Linked DNA regions of Callithrix jacchus. The protein of the gene in region 1 purifies or fractionates together with the protein of each later gene. This does not show direct contact. Links are inferred from orthologs where the notes say so. Each region holds a gene or a part of one and is shown in the gene's direction. Other genes may lie near its edges.

Evidence for each region.
Region 2: the proteins of MAP2K1 (region 1) and IQGAP1 purify together in Homo sapiens (affinity purification with western blotting; 3 studies listed by BioGRID, with this or other methods). This does not show direct contact. The link is inferred for Callithrix jacchus from reciprocal best matches to the Homo sapiens genes MAP2K1 and IQGAP1.
Region 3: the proteins of MAP2K1 (region 1) and MAP3K1 purify together in Homo sapiens (affinity purification with western blotting; 3 studies listed by BioGRID and IntAct, with this or other methods). This does not show direct contact. The link is inferred for Callithrix jacchus from reciprocal best matches to the Homo sapiens genes MAP2K1 and MAP3K1.
Region 4: the proteins of MAP2K1 (region 1) and LAMTOR3 purify together in Homo sapiens (affinity purification with western blotting; 3 studies listed by BioGRID, with this or other methods). This does not show direct contact. The link is inferred for Callithrix jacchus from reciprocal best matches to the Homo sapiens genes MAP2K1 and LAMTOR3.

What each region holds. Positions count from the first base shown.
Region 1 is NC_133509.1:13,421,047-13,425,192, forward strand, and holds the start of MAP2K1 (dual specificity mitogen-activated protein kinase kinase 1), read left to right. Parts: upstream 1-1,321; 5' UTR 1,322-1,752; coding exon 1,753-1,832; intron 1,833-4,146. UniProt on the Homo sapiens protein: Dual specificity protein kinase which acts as an essential component of the MAP kinase signal transduction pathway.
Region 2 is NC_133507.1:20,015,298-20,019,606, reverse strand, and holds the start of IQGAP1 (ras GTPase-activating-like protein IQGAP1), read left to right. Parts: upstream 1-1,474; 5' UTR 1,475-1,575; coding exon 1,576-1,630; intron 1,631-3,973; coding exon 3,974-4,073; intron 4,074-4,309. UniProt on the Homo sapiens protein: Plays a crucial role in regulating the dynamics and assembly of the actin cytoskeleton.
Region 3 is NC_133503.1:152,985,556-152,989,116, reverse strand, and holds part of MAP3K1 (mitogen-activated protein kinase kinase kinase 1), read left to right. Parts: intron 1-767; exon of another isoform or gene 768-965; intron 966-2,555; coding exon 2,556-2,705; 3' UTR 2,706-3,561. UniProt on the Homo sapiens protein: Component of a protein kinase signal transduction cascade. Activates the ERK and JNK kinase pathways by phosphorylation of MAP2K1 and MAP2K4. May phosphorylate the MAPK8/JNK1 kinase.
Region 4 is NC_133504.1:97,478,795-97,482,977, forward strand, and holds the start of LAMTOR3 (ragulator complex protein LAMTOR3), read left to right. Parts: upstream 1-1,379; 5' UTR 1,380-1,464; intron 1,465-1,786; 5' UTR 1,787-1,823; coding exon 1,824-1,832; intron 1,833-4,183. UniProt on the Homo sapiens protein: As part of the Ragulator complex it is involved in amino acid sensing and activation of mTORC1, a signaling complex promoting cell growth in response to growth factors, energy levels, and amino acids.

The sequences.
Region 1 (4,146 bases):
GGATGAAAGTTTTTTTTTAAGGCTAGTCAAGTGAAGCAGTGGGAGTGGAGAAGGAACAAAAAAATCTGTAACTGGCTGGGCGCGGTGGCTCACACCTATAATCCCAGCACTTTGGGAGGCCAAGGCGGGTGGATCACGAGGTCAAGAGATCGAGACCATCCTGGTCAACAGGGCGAAACCCTGTCTCTACTAAAAATACAAAAAAATTAGCTGGGCATAGTGGTGCGTGCCTGTAGTCCCAGCTACTCGGGAGGCTGAGGCAGGAGAATTGCTTGAACCCAGGAGGCGGAGGTTGCGGTGAGCCGAGATCGTGCCATTGCACTCCAGTTTGGGTAACAACAGCGAAACTGCGTCTCAAAAAAAAAAAAGAAATCTGTAACTGGTTGTGATCAATTAGTTGTAAACACCACGGCACTCGGACCAGCCTGGATGAAAGTTTTTAAAGAGTCTCGCTCTGAAGCTGGTGTGCAGTGGTGTGATCCTAACTCATTGCAGACTCAAACTCCTGGGCTCAAGTGATCCTCCAGCCTCAGTCTCCTCAGTAGCTCAGACTACAGGTGCACTCAGTCACGCCCAGCCAGTAGAGACCGGGGAGGGGTGGGGGGGGGAGTCTCCCTGCTCAGGCAACACTGGGATTACAGACGTGAGCCACCACTCCTGGACTGGTAAAGGGTGTTTTTAAGGCTTTAAAAAAAATGTTACCAACATAGTGAAACCCCGTCAAAAAAAAAAAAAAAAAAAAATCAATCTGCTCTCAAAAACCGTTGCAACAATTTACAGTCTCATCAGCACTGAGTATCCATTTCCCCGCACCCTTCTCAGGAGTATTATTAAACAAATAAAATACATAAATGACAGTTCGTTGGGCTCAAGGAGTCTCTGGACAAGTTTCCTATTTACCACGCCGCCTCTCCTCTGGACACAGGAAGGGGTCCTTTTCCTTATTTATTTTGTTATTTCATTTCTGTCAACAGGACTCGGCTTTGGGACGAAGGTTGGGGACAGGCTAGTTACCGCAGACGAGGAGGCCGCGCAGCACTTGGCCTAGAGGAGCTCAACCGGCAGCCGATACGAACCTCTTTTCGGAGGGGTCAGCCTGCGTGTCTCCGGGCGGCAGAGGGCGCCGTCGAGCCCGCGACAGACCCCGCCCCCAGGGCAGCGCGCCGCGCTCCCATGACGTATTTCCGCGTCATCTGCCGCCGAGGCTTGCTCCCATTGGTTGTTGGCGAGGCAATAGGGGCGGAGTGAGTGGGTGTGTGGAAAGCGCCGCAGCTCGGGTGGGGGGCGAGGCTTCCCCTTCCCCGCCCCTCCCCCGACCTCCAGTCCCTCCCAGGGCCGATGCGCTTAGCGGCTAGGAGCGCGGCGGCGGCAGTTTCCTCGACAGGAGCTGGAGCTGGGCTCTGGTGCGCGCGCGACGGGGCCGCCTGAGCTGGAGAGACTGGTTGGTTGAGGGAGAGAGGGAGGGAATCCCGGGCTGCCGAACCGCACTTTCAGTTCGCTCCACTCCTGCGGGCAGCCCTTCGGCTCGCTGCGCGCGGAGCCGAGTCCCGGGCGGGTGGGGCGGGGGTCCCCTGAGACCGCCACCGGCCCCCTCGGAGCTGACGGGACCGCGCGGGGCGCACCCGCCGAAGGCATCCCCGCGGCCCGCGGCCCGGACTTGGACCTGCGCAGCGGGCTCGGGGCAGCTCAGCGGGAGGAAGCGAGAGGTGCTGCCCTCCCCCCGGAGTTGAAAGCGCCTTAGCCGGGTCCAAAATGCCCAAGAAGAAGCCGACGCCCATCCAGCTGAACCCGGCCCCCGACGGCTCGGCGGTTAACGGGACCAGCTCTGCAGAGTAAGTATGGAGCGGGTGGCGAACGTCGGGGCCCGGCTGGGGAGGCCCGGGCCGGGGCTCAGGAGCGCGCGCCAGGCTCCTCTCCGGTTTGTCACGTACGTCTGGGGCTGGCAGGGGGCGAGGAACTCCCGGCCGCCGGGGTATCAGTGACTAAGCACTGATTGTGCTCCTGACTCAGACCAGTTCGCGGATTTCGCGGGTCTCGATTTCCCTCTTCACCCGTTTCCCGACAGTTTCAGTGGTCCCTGGCCATTGACCGGTCTCCTCCCAAGAAAATAAAAGCTGGCACATCTCTCCTGCCTCTCCCCAGCTGTGTTCTAAATGTGATCCTCTGGGAGTCTGGGCTGTAACGGGGAGAGGAGGCTAATGTTTTGGAAAGAATTAAGATCGCATCTGTGCTTTGAGACCGGCTCAGTTTATGAAGTGTGGAGCATTAGCCTCACCTTCATGCCTGACACCTGTGGGGCCTAAATGCCTTGTTGCAGGCCAGCTGCCTGGCCAGCGGGGGCGTGCTGGAAGTCCGTGTGGACTTCGTGGCTTTTCCTTGCTGACTTTGGGAGTTCCCGGTCCTTGGCCTTCCTGGGAACTGTCTTGCTCAAGAAAGCATCGTTCCTTATCTGGCTATTCATTCATTCATTTATTCAACAAACCATTTCCTCACTAATGATTAGCTTTCCGTACTTGGCCAGGAGCTCCTAAACTCCTGACCTGAGACATGAACACCATGACCTGTAAACCGTATACTAGGTGTTCCATCTCTGCAGCTTCTAGCGTTGCTCACAAATGAACACTTTATTTCATTAAATAATCATGAGGCTGTTTACTGGGGGTTTCTGAGCTACCACAACTCTTTTGGGTTCTAGGTAAGGGACAAGACTATGTGAGGGAAAGCTGCTTAGCTAGCTAGAGAAATGGCCAGAAAAGATCAGTTTATTTTTATTTTTTGCCTTTTTTTTGGTGGTGGTTTGTCCAATCTTCAGTAAAGATTTTGTTTTTAATCTTTTACCTGCATCCTGCAGACTTTAGGAAGCTAATTGATGAAATCAGAGTAGGCTTGGACTTTCTGCTCTTTGGTGATTTCTGTAACCTCCCTTTCTTTCTCTAGATTTAAAAAAAATTTTATTTTTAAAAATTTTATAGAGATGGGGTCTTGGTATATTGCTTAGGCTGGTCTTGAACTCCTGGGCTCTAGCGATCCTCCCAAAGTGCTGGGATTACCCAGCCAACTTTCCCTATATTTTAATAACCTGGGGACCTGTTGGCTTGGTGACTTGTTCCATGCCTGTAGTGATCACACGGTCAGTGGTGGACCTGTGTGTGGTATGTGTTCAGCTAAGTTCTTGAGACCTACTCCCAGCAGACTCTCCTCTTTAGGCCCCTCGCAGTCGTGTGGTATCTGTTTTGCATGTTACTGACTTGTATAGGTGGTTGGGTTGCATTGCAAACATTTTTTTTTTTTTTTTTTTGAGACAGGGTTTCACTCTTGTTGCCCAGGCTGGAGTGGAATGGTGCGATCTCGGCTCACTGCAACCTCTGCCTCCTGGGTTCAAGTGATTGTCCTGCCTCAGCCTCCTGAGTAGCTGGGATTACAGGCATGTGCCACCACGCCTAATTTTGTATTTTTAGTAGAGAGGGGCTTCTTCGTGTTGGTCAGGGTGTTTTTTTTTTGAGACGGAGTTTCGCTCTTGTAACCCAGGCTGGAGTGCAATGGCGCGATCTCGGCTCACCGCAACCTCCGCCTCCTGGGTTCAGGCAATTCTCCTGCCTCAGCCTCCTGAGTAGCTGGGATTACAGGCACGCGCCACCATGCCCAGCTAATTTTTTGTATTTTTAGTAGAGACGGGATTTCACCATGTTGACCAGGATGGTCTTGATCTCTTCACCTTGTGATCCACCTGCCTTGGCCTTCCAAAGTGCTGGGATTACAGGCTTGAGCCACTGTGCCCGGCCAGGGTGGTCTTGAACACCTGACCTCAGGTGATCTGCCTGCCTCGGCCTCCCAAAGTGCTGGGATTACAGGCGTGAGCCATAATGTTTGCTGCAGTGCAAACGTTTGTTCAGTTTTAGTGTACAGTGTTTCACCTTCTTAAAACAGACTGAAAGCCCTGACTGTTGTTAGGACAGATTCTGACCACAGTGGATTCTGGCTGAATGTCGTGGCCTGATCATCCTTTCCTATTTGAATTGGACGTGAATACTAAGAAGAAGTACCTGTTACTCTGTTGTAATTGTGAAACCACAACTATTCTCTCAAGGGGGAGGGGTTTCACTAAAATAGTAAAAGCAGGACGAGAAGAAACTACTCCATATTTGG
Region 2 (4,309 bases), on another chromosome or scaffold:
AGAACACCTTGGTAACTGTGACGATCTGGTTGGCAGAAGGGAGACTGAATATGATGACAATCTAAGCAGTGTAATCACAACGGGGATGGAGACAAAAGCAGACACCTCAGAAATAGACACAGATTAAATGTAGGGCGTGAGGCAAGGAGCCTGGGGTGTTCCCATTGGGAACTGAGTACTTCTATGAATAGAGAATATAGCAGGAGCAGGGTGAATGTTTGATGGGTAGGATTTGAGTTGTCTGCCCTATACACAGGCCAAAGTGTTCATTAGCTGAAAATATTGAGGGGCTTCCAGACGATCTGGCCTGGATATACATATTGAAGGGTCTTCAGCAGTTAGAGACAAGTGTAGAAGAAGTTACTGAGTGGGCAAAGAAAAGAAAGGAAGCGGGCCGGGCATGGTGGTTCACGCCTGTAACCCCAGCACTTTGGGAGGCCAAGGCGGGTAGATTACCTAAGGTTAGGAGTTCCAGACCAGCCTGACCAGCATGGTGAAACCTCGTGTCTATTAAAAATACACAAAAAAATTAGCTGAGCGTGGTGGCGGATGCCTGTAATCCCGGCTACTTGAGAGGCTGAGGCGGGAGAATCGCTTGAACCCAGGCAGCAGGGGTTGCGGTGAGCCGAGATCGCGCCATTGCTCTCCAGCCTGGGCGACAAGAGCGAGACTCCTTCTCAAAAAAAAAAAAAAAAAAAGAAAGAAAGAAAGAAAGAAAGAAAACAAAAAAGAAAAAACGGAAGGAAGAGGGCTGCGGACAGAATACCGTTGAATACTAATATTTAAAGGGCAAGCCACAAGGTGCAGGGGGAAGAGACTTCCCTGATACGGGAAGAGAGTTATCTAAAAAAGAACTTGCAAAGAACAATGTCAAGGGCTCTAAAGGTCGGAGGTTTGGACAGAGCTCGGCTTCAGCATCCACATCTCAAACACCTGGGTAATCTGGTGACTGCTGCTGAATCTGAGAGGACTGAGGCCATGCTGCCGAACTGCGGAGCGTGGGGCTGGAGGACCTTTACGGCAGTCTGGGGACTGCCTGGGTCCAACCAGACACTCTGGACCACCTCAAAGGGCGTCTTCTCTTGAGTTTGGTGCAGAAGTTAGCTGGGTGGGGGGGCCAGTGAGAGAAGAGAGACGACCCATGATTTTGATTTCAGGAAGCAGACACCGGCAGCCTTTCGGTTAGAGCTGCGGGTAGGGCGGTGGCCCTGGGGCGGGGCTGTAAACCTGGGCCTGCATTGCCGGCAGGGCAAGCTCTGCGCGAGCGGGTTTGGAGGACAGGCTCTACCTTCTTCTTCCGCCTACCTATACTGTAGCGGGATGCAGAGCGGGGAGGGGATGAGGGGGCGGGGTTAGGGGGCGGGCGGGCCGGCTCTGGCCCCGCCTATTTCCGGCCGCTCAGGCCGGTGCGGCAGGGCGGGGCCGCTGGGGCGGGGCTTGAGGGGGGGGTTGACGGGACGGGGCGGGGCCTCGGGGACCCGGGCAGCCCGCGCACTTGGCAGAAGCTTGCATCTGCCGCCGCCCGCGCCTCCAAGGTTTCACGGTTTCCTCAGCAGAGAACCGAGGTCGGCCGCCATGTCCGCCGCAGAGGAGGTTGACGGACTGGGCGTGGCCCGGCCGCACTATGGCTGTGAGTGCGGGGCTCCACGGCACGGGGGCTTCGGGGCCGGGCTAACTGCAGACGAGGCGCGGTTTTCCTGGAGGCTCGGCCGGCCGGGTGGGGCAGGGCGGCTGCCGGCAGCTCGGACCCGGAAGAGCAGCCCGGGCGGGGCAGCGGGCGGCGAGGCCTCGGGTGCGAGCCCCCGCGGGCTCCGAGGCGGCGGCGAGGACCCCCGAGGCCTCCCCGCCTTAGCTGGGGCTGCGGTAGGGGGAGCCCCACCCAGCGCTTCCCGCCAGCCAGGCTCGACCGAGATTGGGGAAGGCGGCCTAGGGTGAGGTGGCAGGAGGACCGTGCAGGGCGTGTCCTGGGGACTGGGGTTTGGGGACGCGGGCTCTGCCACGGCTCCGTGGAAAGGCATTGCCCTAGTGCTGCCTGCGGGATGGACGCAGGGAGTAGACCGAGGTCCACACCTGCCCGATCCTAGGCTAGTTGAGAGGTGCCGTCCTGGGCAAGTCACTTCGGTTTTCTTGGGCTCAGTTCCCTCCTCAAGATTTCAAAAGTAAAAAGAAAAAAAAAAGGCAAAAAATCCTCTGACTTCCTCATTTTCTGTTGCCTGCCCTGGACGTCATTGAACTGCAGGCACGATTGGCTAAAGGAGGACCCTTTGGGGTTTTGAGGTTTTCAAGTATCAACATTTCGGACATCAACAGTTATATGTGTGGTTTGTGCAGCGTTTGTGAAATTAAAGATGAGTAAGATCAGGCCCTGCCTCCAGAGAACATTTTAATCAGACGGACAGGTGTGCAAGCTAATGTTTATAAAGTGCAATAGAGATAAAAGATGCTGAACCTACTAGCCATACAGAGTAATGTAGGTAAGGTAAGGAGAGGGGCTTGGGGAAGACAGTCTGAGTATGGGAGGTGACTTTTTTTTTTTTTTTCCCGAGAGAGAGAGAGAGAGAGAGAGAGAGAGAGTCAGTCTGTCTTGCTCTGTTACCCAGGCTGGAGTGCAGTGGCACAATCTCAGCCCACTGCAACCTCCACCTCCCAGGTTCCAGCGATTCTCCTCCCTCAGCCTCCCAAATAGCTGGGACTATAGGTGTTCACGATCACACTAAGCTAATTTTTGTATTTAGTAGAGACGGGGGTTTCACCATGTTGGCCAGGATGGTCTCAAACTCCTGACCTGAAGTAATCCCCCCGCCTGGGCCTCCCAAAGTGTGAGCCACTGCCCCCAGCCAGAAGTTGACATTTGAACAGACCCTTGAACCATGCTGTGTAGAAAGTTTGTCAGGTGGCCAGGTGTGGCTCCTACATGTAATCCCAGCAATTTGGGAAGCCGAGGTAAGAGGATTGTTTGAGGCCAGGAGTTTGAGACCAGCCTGGGCAGCATAGTGAGATCCCATCTCTTAAAAAAAAAACAAAAAACCAGGGGTGGTGGCCCACGGCTGTGGTTCCAGCTGCTCAGGGCTAAGGGTAGGATCATTTGAGCCCAGGAAGTGGAGGCTGCAGTGAGCCATGATTGTGCCACTGCACTCCAGTCAGAGTGACAGAACAAGACCCTGTCTCAAGAAACAAACGTGTTAGGGCATGGTGGAACAAGAGGCAGGACATGAGAGAAGGGCATAGACGAAGGTGGTGAATAGTTGAGGGACACTGTGTGTGCTGGGAAATGAGTGGTGTGGAGTGCACCGTGGTGGGAGGAAGCGCAGAGGAGAGTTTCCAAAAATAGTGGAGACCAGACTGGGAAAGGCCTTGAATGTCTTCCCAAGGAGTTAGGAATTTATTCCATACCTGGTACCCAGGAAGGAAGCAGATAGATGCCTTCAAGGTTAAGCTCGGGCTTTGGAGACAGACTCTCCAGCGTGAATTCAGGCCCTGCATTTGTTTGCCATGGGACTGAGCTCACCCAGCCTCAGTTTCTTCATCTGTAAAATAGGAGCAATAATCACAGGATTGTTATGGGGTTTCAGTGAGAGAATGCGGGTAAAATGCTTGTTACAATTACTGCCACTTATTTCTGAATAACTGCTGGTCATTAATAAAAGAAGGAAACAACATTATCAGATCTGTGTTTAGAAGTTCTGGCAGGTAGGGACAGATTTGGGCCAAAATCTCAAGACAGTATTTTTCAAGTTTTCATTAAATTTAGTACATATTTATATTATACATTTTTTAAAAGGTCAAGATGAGTATTGTTGAAACCACATAGTTCTTTTTTTAGGAAGGTCATTGTAGTACACCTAGCTAGCCACACATTCATCGGTTACCCTGACTTTCTAGGTGAGTAGCAGGAAATTGATGCTGTGGCAATCTTTTATCACTCAGGAAGGCAACAGATCCTGGTGTTTACATTCTTTCTTTTCTGTTTTAGCTGTCCTGGATAATGAAAGACTTACTGCAGAGGAGATGGATGAAAGGAGACGTCAGAATGTGGCTTATGAGTACCTTTGTCATTTGGAAGAAGCAAAGAGGTAAAGATTGGCTGGCTGGAGAGAAGATTAAGAGAAGGGAACTGATAATAGTGTGAATACAAATAAAGATTTCTTTGAGGCTGAGCTCGGTGGTCCACGTCTGTAATCCCAACGCGTTGGGAGGCCAAGGCAGGAGGATCACTTGAACCCAGCTGTTTGAGACAGACTGGGCAACATAGTGAGACCCTGTTTCTACAAAAAAAATTTAAAAGTTAGCCAGGTGTGGTGGTGCATGC
Region 3 (3,561 bases), on another chromosome or scaffold:
CTCCCAGGTAGCTGGGACTACAGGCACACACCACCACGCCCAGCTAATTTTTGTATTTATAGTAGAGATGGAGTTTCACCACATTGGCCAGGCTGATCTTGAACTCCTGACCTCAAGTGATCTGCCCACCTCAGCCTCCCAAAGTATTGGGATTACAGGCATGAGCCACTGCACCTGGCCTAATTCACACCCAAGTCAGTTCAGTTACTAAATCCTGTTCTACCTACCTTTTCATAACTCACAGATCCACTCTCTGCTTTTCCACCATAGAATAGGTAATGGTTGACATTTTTAGTAGACTTTTCAGTAGACATGAGATAGTTGAAATAATGGGCTTTGGAGTCACCCTGACATAGTTTTAAACCCTTAATGGCCTTGTGATCATAGGGAAATTATTTTTTGTGTCTACCCTCCATTTTCTCATATGTAAAACTGCTGCAAGAATCCTATGAAGCACATACTTCATAGGATTACCATGAAGATAAACAAAATTATGCCTAGGCCTTAGTCACTCAACCTACACAGTCAACTCCACCTGTCATCACCTCCTCCAGTCCTCCCCACACTTACTATAACCTCCTAAGTCACCTCTCTGACAATACCTGTTTTGTATTATTACCTCATTTCCTCTATTCTTTCGGACTTCCCATGTCCCTTTTCCACATGGATCAAATTCTTAATCGCTTTAAGGCCCATATCTCTGCTCCTCCTGCTTGGGCACCCCCTTCTTACTGCTTCCACAGATTCTGTAGCATTTTAGTACATACTTGTTTCTGACACTTTGTTTCTTGTATCCTAGTTAAGTTCCTATATTGCTTCCTTTTTCAAATTAAGTCTCCTTGAGGTCCATTCACATCTGCTTCATTTTTTTCCTTCCAGAGTCTTAAATAGAAGTTGCTCGATAAATACTCATAACTAGGATCAATTTGAAAGTTTGATGTCATTTTCAGAGTTTTGGTGAGCCCCTGGAAACAAATGGAAATGATTTTAAAATTGGCACCATTCATATTTTAACAGATTTCATTGCATTCTCCTTCATAGATAGAGTTTAAAGAGAATTGTACTATAATATTTTCCGTTTTCTTAACTTGGAGTAAATACTTTGAGGTCTTTGGAAGCACCCCAAAGAGACAGAAAAACGGCTTTCTCAAACACTTACATACCTGTTTATGGTAGTAAAAATTGCTGTAGCACATTTTTTTAAGAGAACGATTTGGCAATATCCAAATCCAAATTTGGATTTTGGCAAAATCCCAAAAAAAATAAGTGCCAGAATTTAAATGCACTTATTCTTTGACTCAGCTATGCCCATTGTTAGGGATTTACTCTAGATTACCTCTAGAAGTACCAAGTGCCAAGTTCAGGATTATTCACTCTACTCAAGAAAGTAATTAAATTATCCACACAATGTAAAACTATATAGAAATTAAATAAATTTAGTATAAAGCTGTTGGTGTTTAGAAAGTGCTACAAGATACATTAATAAGTGAAAAGAGCAAGATACATAAAGTGATCCTGGCCAGGCACAGTGGCTCATGCCTGTGATCTCAGCACTTTGGGGGGCTGAAGTGAGAACATAACTTGAGCCCAGGAGTTGGAGACCAGCCTGGGCATAGCAAGACCCTGTCTCTACAAAAAAAGAAAAAAAATTAGCTGAGCATAGTAGCACCTGCCTGTGCTCCCAGGTACTCAGGAGGCTATGAGGTGGAAGGATCGTTTGAGCCCAGGAGGTCAAAGCTGCAATGAGCCATGTTCACACCACTGCACTTCACCTTGGGTGACAGTGAGAGAGAACCTGTCTCGAAATTAAGTTTTCTCTTTTGTAGACATTTTAGAAAATCTAAAGTCTGTGAGATATATTGGCCTTTTTTTCTCCACATACACAAAAAAACCAAAAACACAAATCGTCAGAAGTAAGTGGTTACATTTGGGGAAAAGGAAAAGGGATTTCATTTTTTGTTTTGTATTTTCCCTTTTTGTGGTGTCTAAGATGTGTATGTATCAGCTGAGTATATCTTCATATAGCATCACAGACCTTATAGGATTTTTCTTTATATTACTTTGCATTTTTTAACCCAAAGCATTTATGAAATTATTGGGGTAGGGAAAGGAAAGAGTTTTCTTGTGATTAGGAGTGGGTAGGTGGGTTTAAAGTATTCAGACGTAAAATTTATTGAAAAGTCATTCTTCATAATGCATTTGATACTAAGAATTTGTCCAACATTGAAGGAAAAAAATCAATGCAGTTGTGTTTTCTGTGTACTAAATTGGCTATTCAGGTTTAGTCTTTCTTAATCTAAATAGCTGTCTATGCTGAAGAAATAGAAAATGTGCAATAAGAACAAACCATCTTTGTGGCCGAATATGAAAACAGAATTCATAGGAGTGAATACTTTCTCTACCTGAACATTGATAACAGAAAGTCCTCCCACTTCTGCTTCAGTTCCTCTCTGTTCAGGATATGAATATAAGGATGATGAGGTATATGCACATGTGTTTCTGTATCAGAAGTTCCAGTTGTGCAAAGCTTTAACACTCTGGCTCTTTCTCCACAGATTGCTAGTGCAACTACTGCTCCATCGATCCCATCACATCTGTCTCCCGGTTTACGAGATGTGGCTCTTCGTTGTTTAGAACTTCAACCTCAGGACAGACCTCCATCAAGAGAGCTACTGAAGCATCCAGTCTTTCGTACTACATGGTAGCCAATTACACAAATCACCTACAGTAGAAACAGGATGCTCAACAAGAGAAAAAAAACTTGTGGGGTACCACATCGATATTCTACTGGCCATGATGCCACTGAACAGCTATGAACAGGGCCAGTGGGGAACCCTTACCTAAGTATGTGATTGACAAATCATGATCTGTACCTAAGCTCAGTATGCAAAAGCCCGCAACTAGTGCAGAAACTGTAAACCGTGCCTTTCAAAGAACTGGCCCTACGTGAACAGGAAAACAAGTTTGCATGACTAAATGGCAGAAGCATAATTTTATTTTTTTGGAGCACTTTTTCAGCAATATTAGCAGCTGAGGGGCTCAGGATCTATTTTAATATTTCAATTATTCTTCCATTTCATATAGTGATCACAAGCAGGGGGTTCTGCAATTCCGTTCAAATTTTTTGTCACTGGCTGTAAAATCAGTATCTGCCTCTTTTAGGTCAGCGTATGCTATGAGTAGCAGTACATACATATATTTTTAAAAGTTGATAACTTCTTTATGACTCATAGTTGGCCTTTATTTTTAAATACTTGGACAATTGTGGCTCATTGTGCATTTTACTGTTGGCCCATTCATTTCGTTTTTGGAAATTATGGTTCTGTATTTTCATTTTTACAATTATTTTTGTTTAATATTCAGGGAAAGGTGATCTTTTCAAACCAGAAAAAAAAAAAACTAGATATGAACTAGAGTTCATTAAATATCTTGCTATTGTAAAAGTTTTTTAAAGTACAGACTTAATTTTGTTTTTTAAATTGGAATACAATAAAGTGCTACCTACATTTACAGTCACCACTCTTATTACTGTGCAGGTAAAATATAAGTTAACTAAAAATT
Region 4 (4,183 bases), on another chromosome or scaffold:
AATAAGACAAAAACCTGAAAGAGTTTACATCTAGCAATGAAAATAAATATCAAATAAATAATTATAATTATAATAAATGCTACAAAGAAAATTACAGGGTACAATGAGAGCATTTATCTAGAAGATCTAAACTATTCAGTGAGGGTCAGGGAAGACTTCTCTGAGAGTGAGTTTAAGCTGACACTCAAAAGTGAGATTAGTAGGAGTAAGGCAGAATGTGCTAAGCTGGTAAAGTGATAAAAATCTTTATGGAAGTGAAAACAAACTTGGGTGATCATAGCATAAGGGATCCACGGTAAATGAGAGAATTAAGATAGGGGCCAGATCCCCATAGAATGATATATAAACCATGATGCTGACATTGATCTTTATTCTAAGTCAACAAAATTGATTTTCAAGGAAGGAGTTCCATGATCTGATTTGGGATTTTAGAACATCATTTTAGTTGCTATATGGAGACTGGAGGGCAAAAGAAAATGTAAGAAAGATAGGAGGTTATTGTCAAAAGAGAGATGATCATGGCTTGGACTAAGGTAGGAATATAGTTAGGTGAATAGTTTTCAAAGATACTCAGGAGGTAGAATCAACAGAACTCTCTTTGGATTTGGGACATATGGAGGCAGCAATTAAAAACCAGGCTAAAATTTTCTGAAAAATTGGCTGTGAAACGGAGTAGCGGAAAAACGGTGGTAGCTGAAAGAGAATGTGATTTCTAAAGAAGCTTTTCTTTTGAGGGTCTCGCTCTGTCACTTAAGCTGGAGTTCAGTGGGGCGATCACCACTCAGTGCAGCTTCAAACCCTGGGCTCAAGTGATCTGTTTGCCTCAGCCTCCGGAGTACCTCCTGGCCGCACATCACCTAAGGCTAATTCTTTTTTGGGGTAGAAACGGGATCCTCCCTTCCAAGCTGGTTTAGAACTCCTGGGCTCAAAGAATCGTCCTGCCTTGGACTCCCAAAGTGCTACATGAGACCTTACTAATTTTTTTAAATTCTGATGTAGAAGGGGCTTGCTGCTCAGCTCATCACACCATCCCCTCAAATTTCATCTACAAGAAAAGGTTTTAAGATAATGGACCCTGAAAAACTAATGACATTTATAAACCCTCTCCGCAAGAATGCCTTGTAACACATAGCCTTGCTTGCATTTCCTGGGGTTCTTAGAGTCCAGCGATCTCGTACAAATTCCCTACCCCACAGCTGACGTCCTTCGGCCTGTGACACAAGGCGCAGGCTCAAGACGCGGTCCGCGGTGGGCGGGGGAGGGGCGAGGCCCGTCGGGCCCAGCACGCTCGCAGCTTCCGCCCGGCTCCTCCGGAAATCCCGTATTACGGGGCGACTGCGTAGCTAGTGCTTCCTGGGGCACAGAAGAGGTCACGAATCATGTGACAGTGGCTTGAGGAGGAACCGGTCTTTAAAGCGTCCCTGAAGTGACAGTGGAGAGAACCAGGCAGCGTAGAAACCCCAGGTAACTGGCGCTGCTTTGCCCGGTTTTGAGGTCTAGTCCCGGGAGTGGCGCGGGTGGTGATTCTAAACAGAAGGGGAGGACCCTCTCTTCTTTTCTTTGGGCCTAGCTCTTTCTGGTGAAGGGGCAGGGATGGGGTGGGGTGAGGTAAGGCGTGCCGGCTGAGTACCCGTGGCGGAGTTGGGGCACTCCGACTCCCACTGAACTCGATGGGCCAAGCCGGAGTTTTGCCTGGTTCTGTCCAGGCCTGATCTCTCTCATTAAGTTGGGGGTAGAGAGGACGAGGAAGCCAAGAGGGAAGAGTCACCGGGAGTTTCTCTTCCAGGCGTGGAGATTGATCCTGCGAGAGAAGGGGGTTCATCATGGCGGATGTGAGTGACACCCCCACATAAGAGGAAGGGGAGGGTGGGGAATTTGGAGGGGAATACTGAGCGGGGAGAGGTAGAGCTTCCCAAGTAGAAATTTGTTTTGATTCTCCCATCCCCACCCACCCCAGTTTTTCTCTGGTAACTGGAGTGGGAGACTAATATGAATGAATTTGCAGGATCCTGAGTTTCTGCCTCGAATGTGGGTGGAGGACATTAAGGTGCTTGAGACAGAAAATTCTATTCTCCCTACTCCCCAGTCCAGTTGGGGCATAAGAGAGGCTCTGTATATTTACCGTTTGAAATTCTGAATGGTGGTTTGCTGCCTGTCTCATCAGTATGTGGTCAGTGGGACATGTACCCAGAATCCTTTTTTTCCCGTAAGTGGTAACAATATCTCATTAGGTTTATTGCAGCAATTTAGGATGTGATTTCTAACCCATGCCTCTTTAGAAACATGGTGAGTTCTCTCTCTCTTTCTCTCTCTCTCTCTCTCTCTCTCTCTCTCTCTCTCTCTCTCTCTCTCTCTCTCTCTGTGTGTGTGTGTGTGTGTGTGTGTGTGTGTGTGTGTGTGATGAATGAAAGCTAAAGTAAGCTGATAGTCATAACATGAAATAGAATGATCATTTGGGTTTGGAGAATATTAAGTGTTGGAGGCACAAAACAACGGACTTCTAATTAATCCATGTGAGGTCAAAATTGATACCTAAATTGCCAATGAAATTCCTGGGATGAGAGTGTAACAAGACAATATAAAATAGTCTTATGGCCAGTGCTGTGGCTTAGTCTGTAATCGCAGCACTTTGGGAGGCCGAGGTGGAAGGATTGCTTGAGGCTGCGAGTTCAAGACCTGCCTGGGCAACATAGCAAGACCCCATTCTACAAAAATAAAATTTAAAATTAGCCAGGCGCATTGATGCCCCTATAGTCCCAGCTATGCCGGAAGTGAAGTGGGAGGATTGCTTGAGCCCAGAAGTTGGAAGTTGCAGTGAGCACCAGCTTAGAAAAATAAAGTAGTCTTCTATTTCTTTAGTCTTAACTGTGTTTCGTGTTAAACACTTGACACACATTGCCATTTATCTTATATTCTGTAAGACTGGGTCAGGCATGGTGACTTACGCCTGTAATACCAGCACTTTGGGCAGATCACCTGAGGTCAGGAGTTCGAGACCAGCCTGGCCAACATGGTAAAACCCCGTCTCTACTAAAAATACAAAAACTTAGCTGGGTGTGATGGTGGGCACCTGTAATCTCAGTTACTCGGGAGGCTGAGGCAGGAAAATCGCTTGAACCCAGGAGGTGGAGGTAGCAGTGAGCCGAGACTGTGCCATTGCACTCCAGGCTAGACAACAAAAGCAAAACTCCGGCCGGGTGCGGTGGCTCAAGCCTGTAATCCCAGCACTTTGGGAGGCCGAGGCGGGTGGGTCACGAGGTCAAGAGATCGAGACCATCCTGGTCAACATGGTGAAACCCCGTCTCTACTAAAAATACAAAAATTAGCTGGGCATGGTGGCGCGTGCCTGTAACCCCAGCTACTCAGGAGGCTGAGGCAGGAGAATTGCCTGAACCCAGGAGGCGGAGGTTGCGGTGAGCTGAGACTGCGCCATTGCGCTCCAGCCTGGGTAACGAGCGAAACTCCGTCTCAAAAAAAAAAGATAAAAAGGAAAACTCCGTTGCCTCCCCCTCAAAAAGACTGTTGCCTCACATAGTCATATAGAATTTATTTTAGGTCCTTAAACAGAATATTTTAAAAGTCACATTATAATAATATGCCTTACACTTTCATTATTTGTTGAGTAGGTGAGTTCAACAAATAATGCAACAATGGAAGGCTTTTTTTCCATAGATTTCATCATATTGGCGAGGCTGGTCAAATTTGGATAGGACAGGGTCTAGAAAACAGTGTAAGGCATATTATTACAATGTGCTTTTTAATATTCTCTTTCAGGATTTTTTTTCTTTTTCTTTTTCTTTTTTTTTTTTTTTTTGAGATGGAGTCTTGCTCTGTCCCCCAGGCTGGAGTGCAGTGGCACATTCTCGGCTCACTGCAACCTCTGCCTCCTGGGTTCAAGCCATTCTCCTGCCTCAGCTTCCCAAGTAGCTGGGATTACAGGTATGTGCCACCATATCTGGCTAATTTTTGTATTTTTAGTAGAGACCAGGTTTCATTATATTGGCCAGGCTGGTCTCAAACTCCTGACCTCAGGTGATCCACTCGCCTTGGCCTCTCAAAGTGCTGGGATTACAGGCGTGAGTCGCCAAGCCCTGCCAGAAGGCCTGTTTTTATAATGTAATAGTTATGTAAGGCAACAGTCTTACAGAAGTCATATCAACTTACCCAAAACCATTAAAATGAT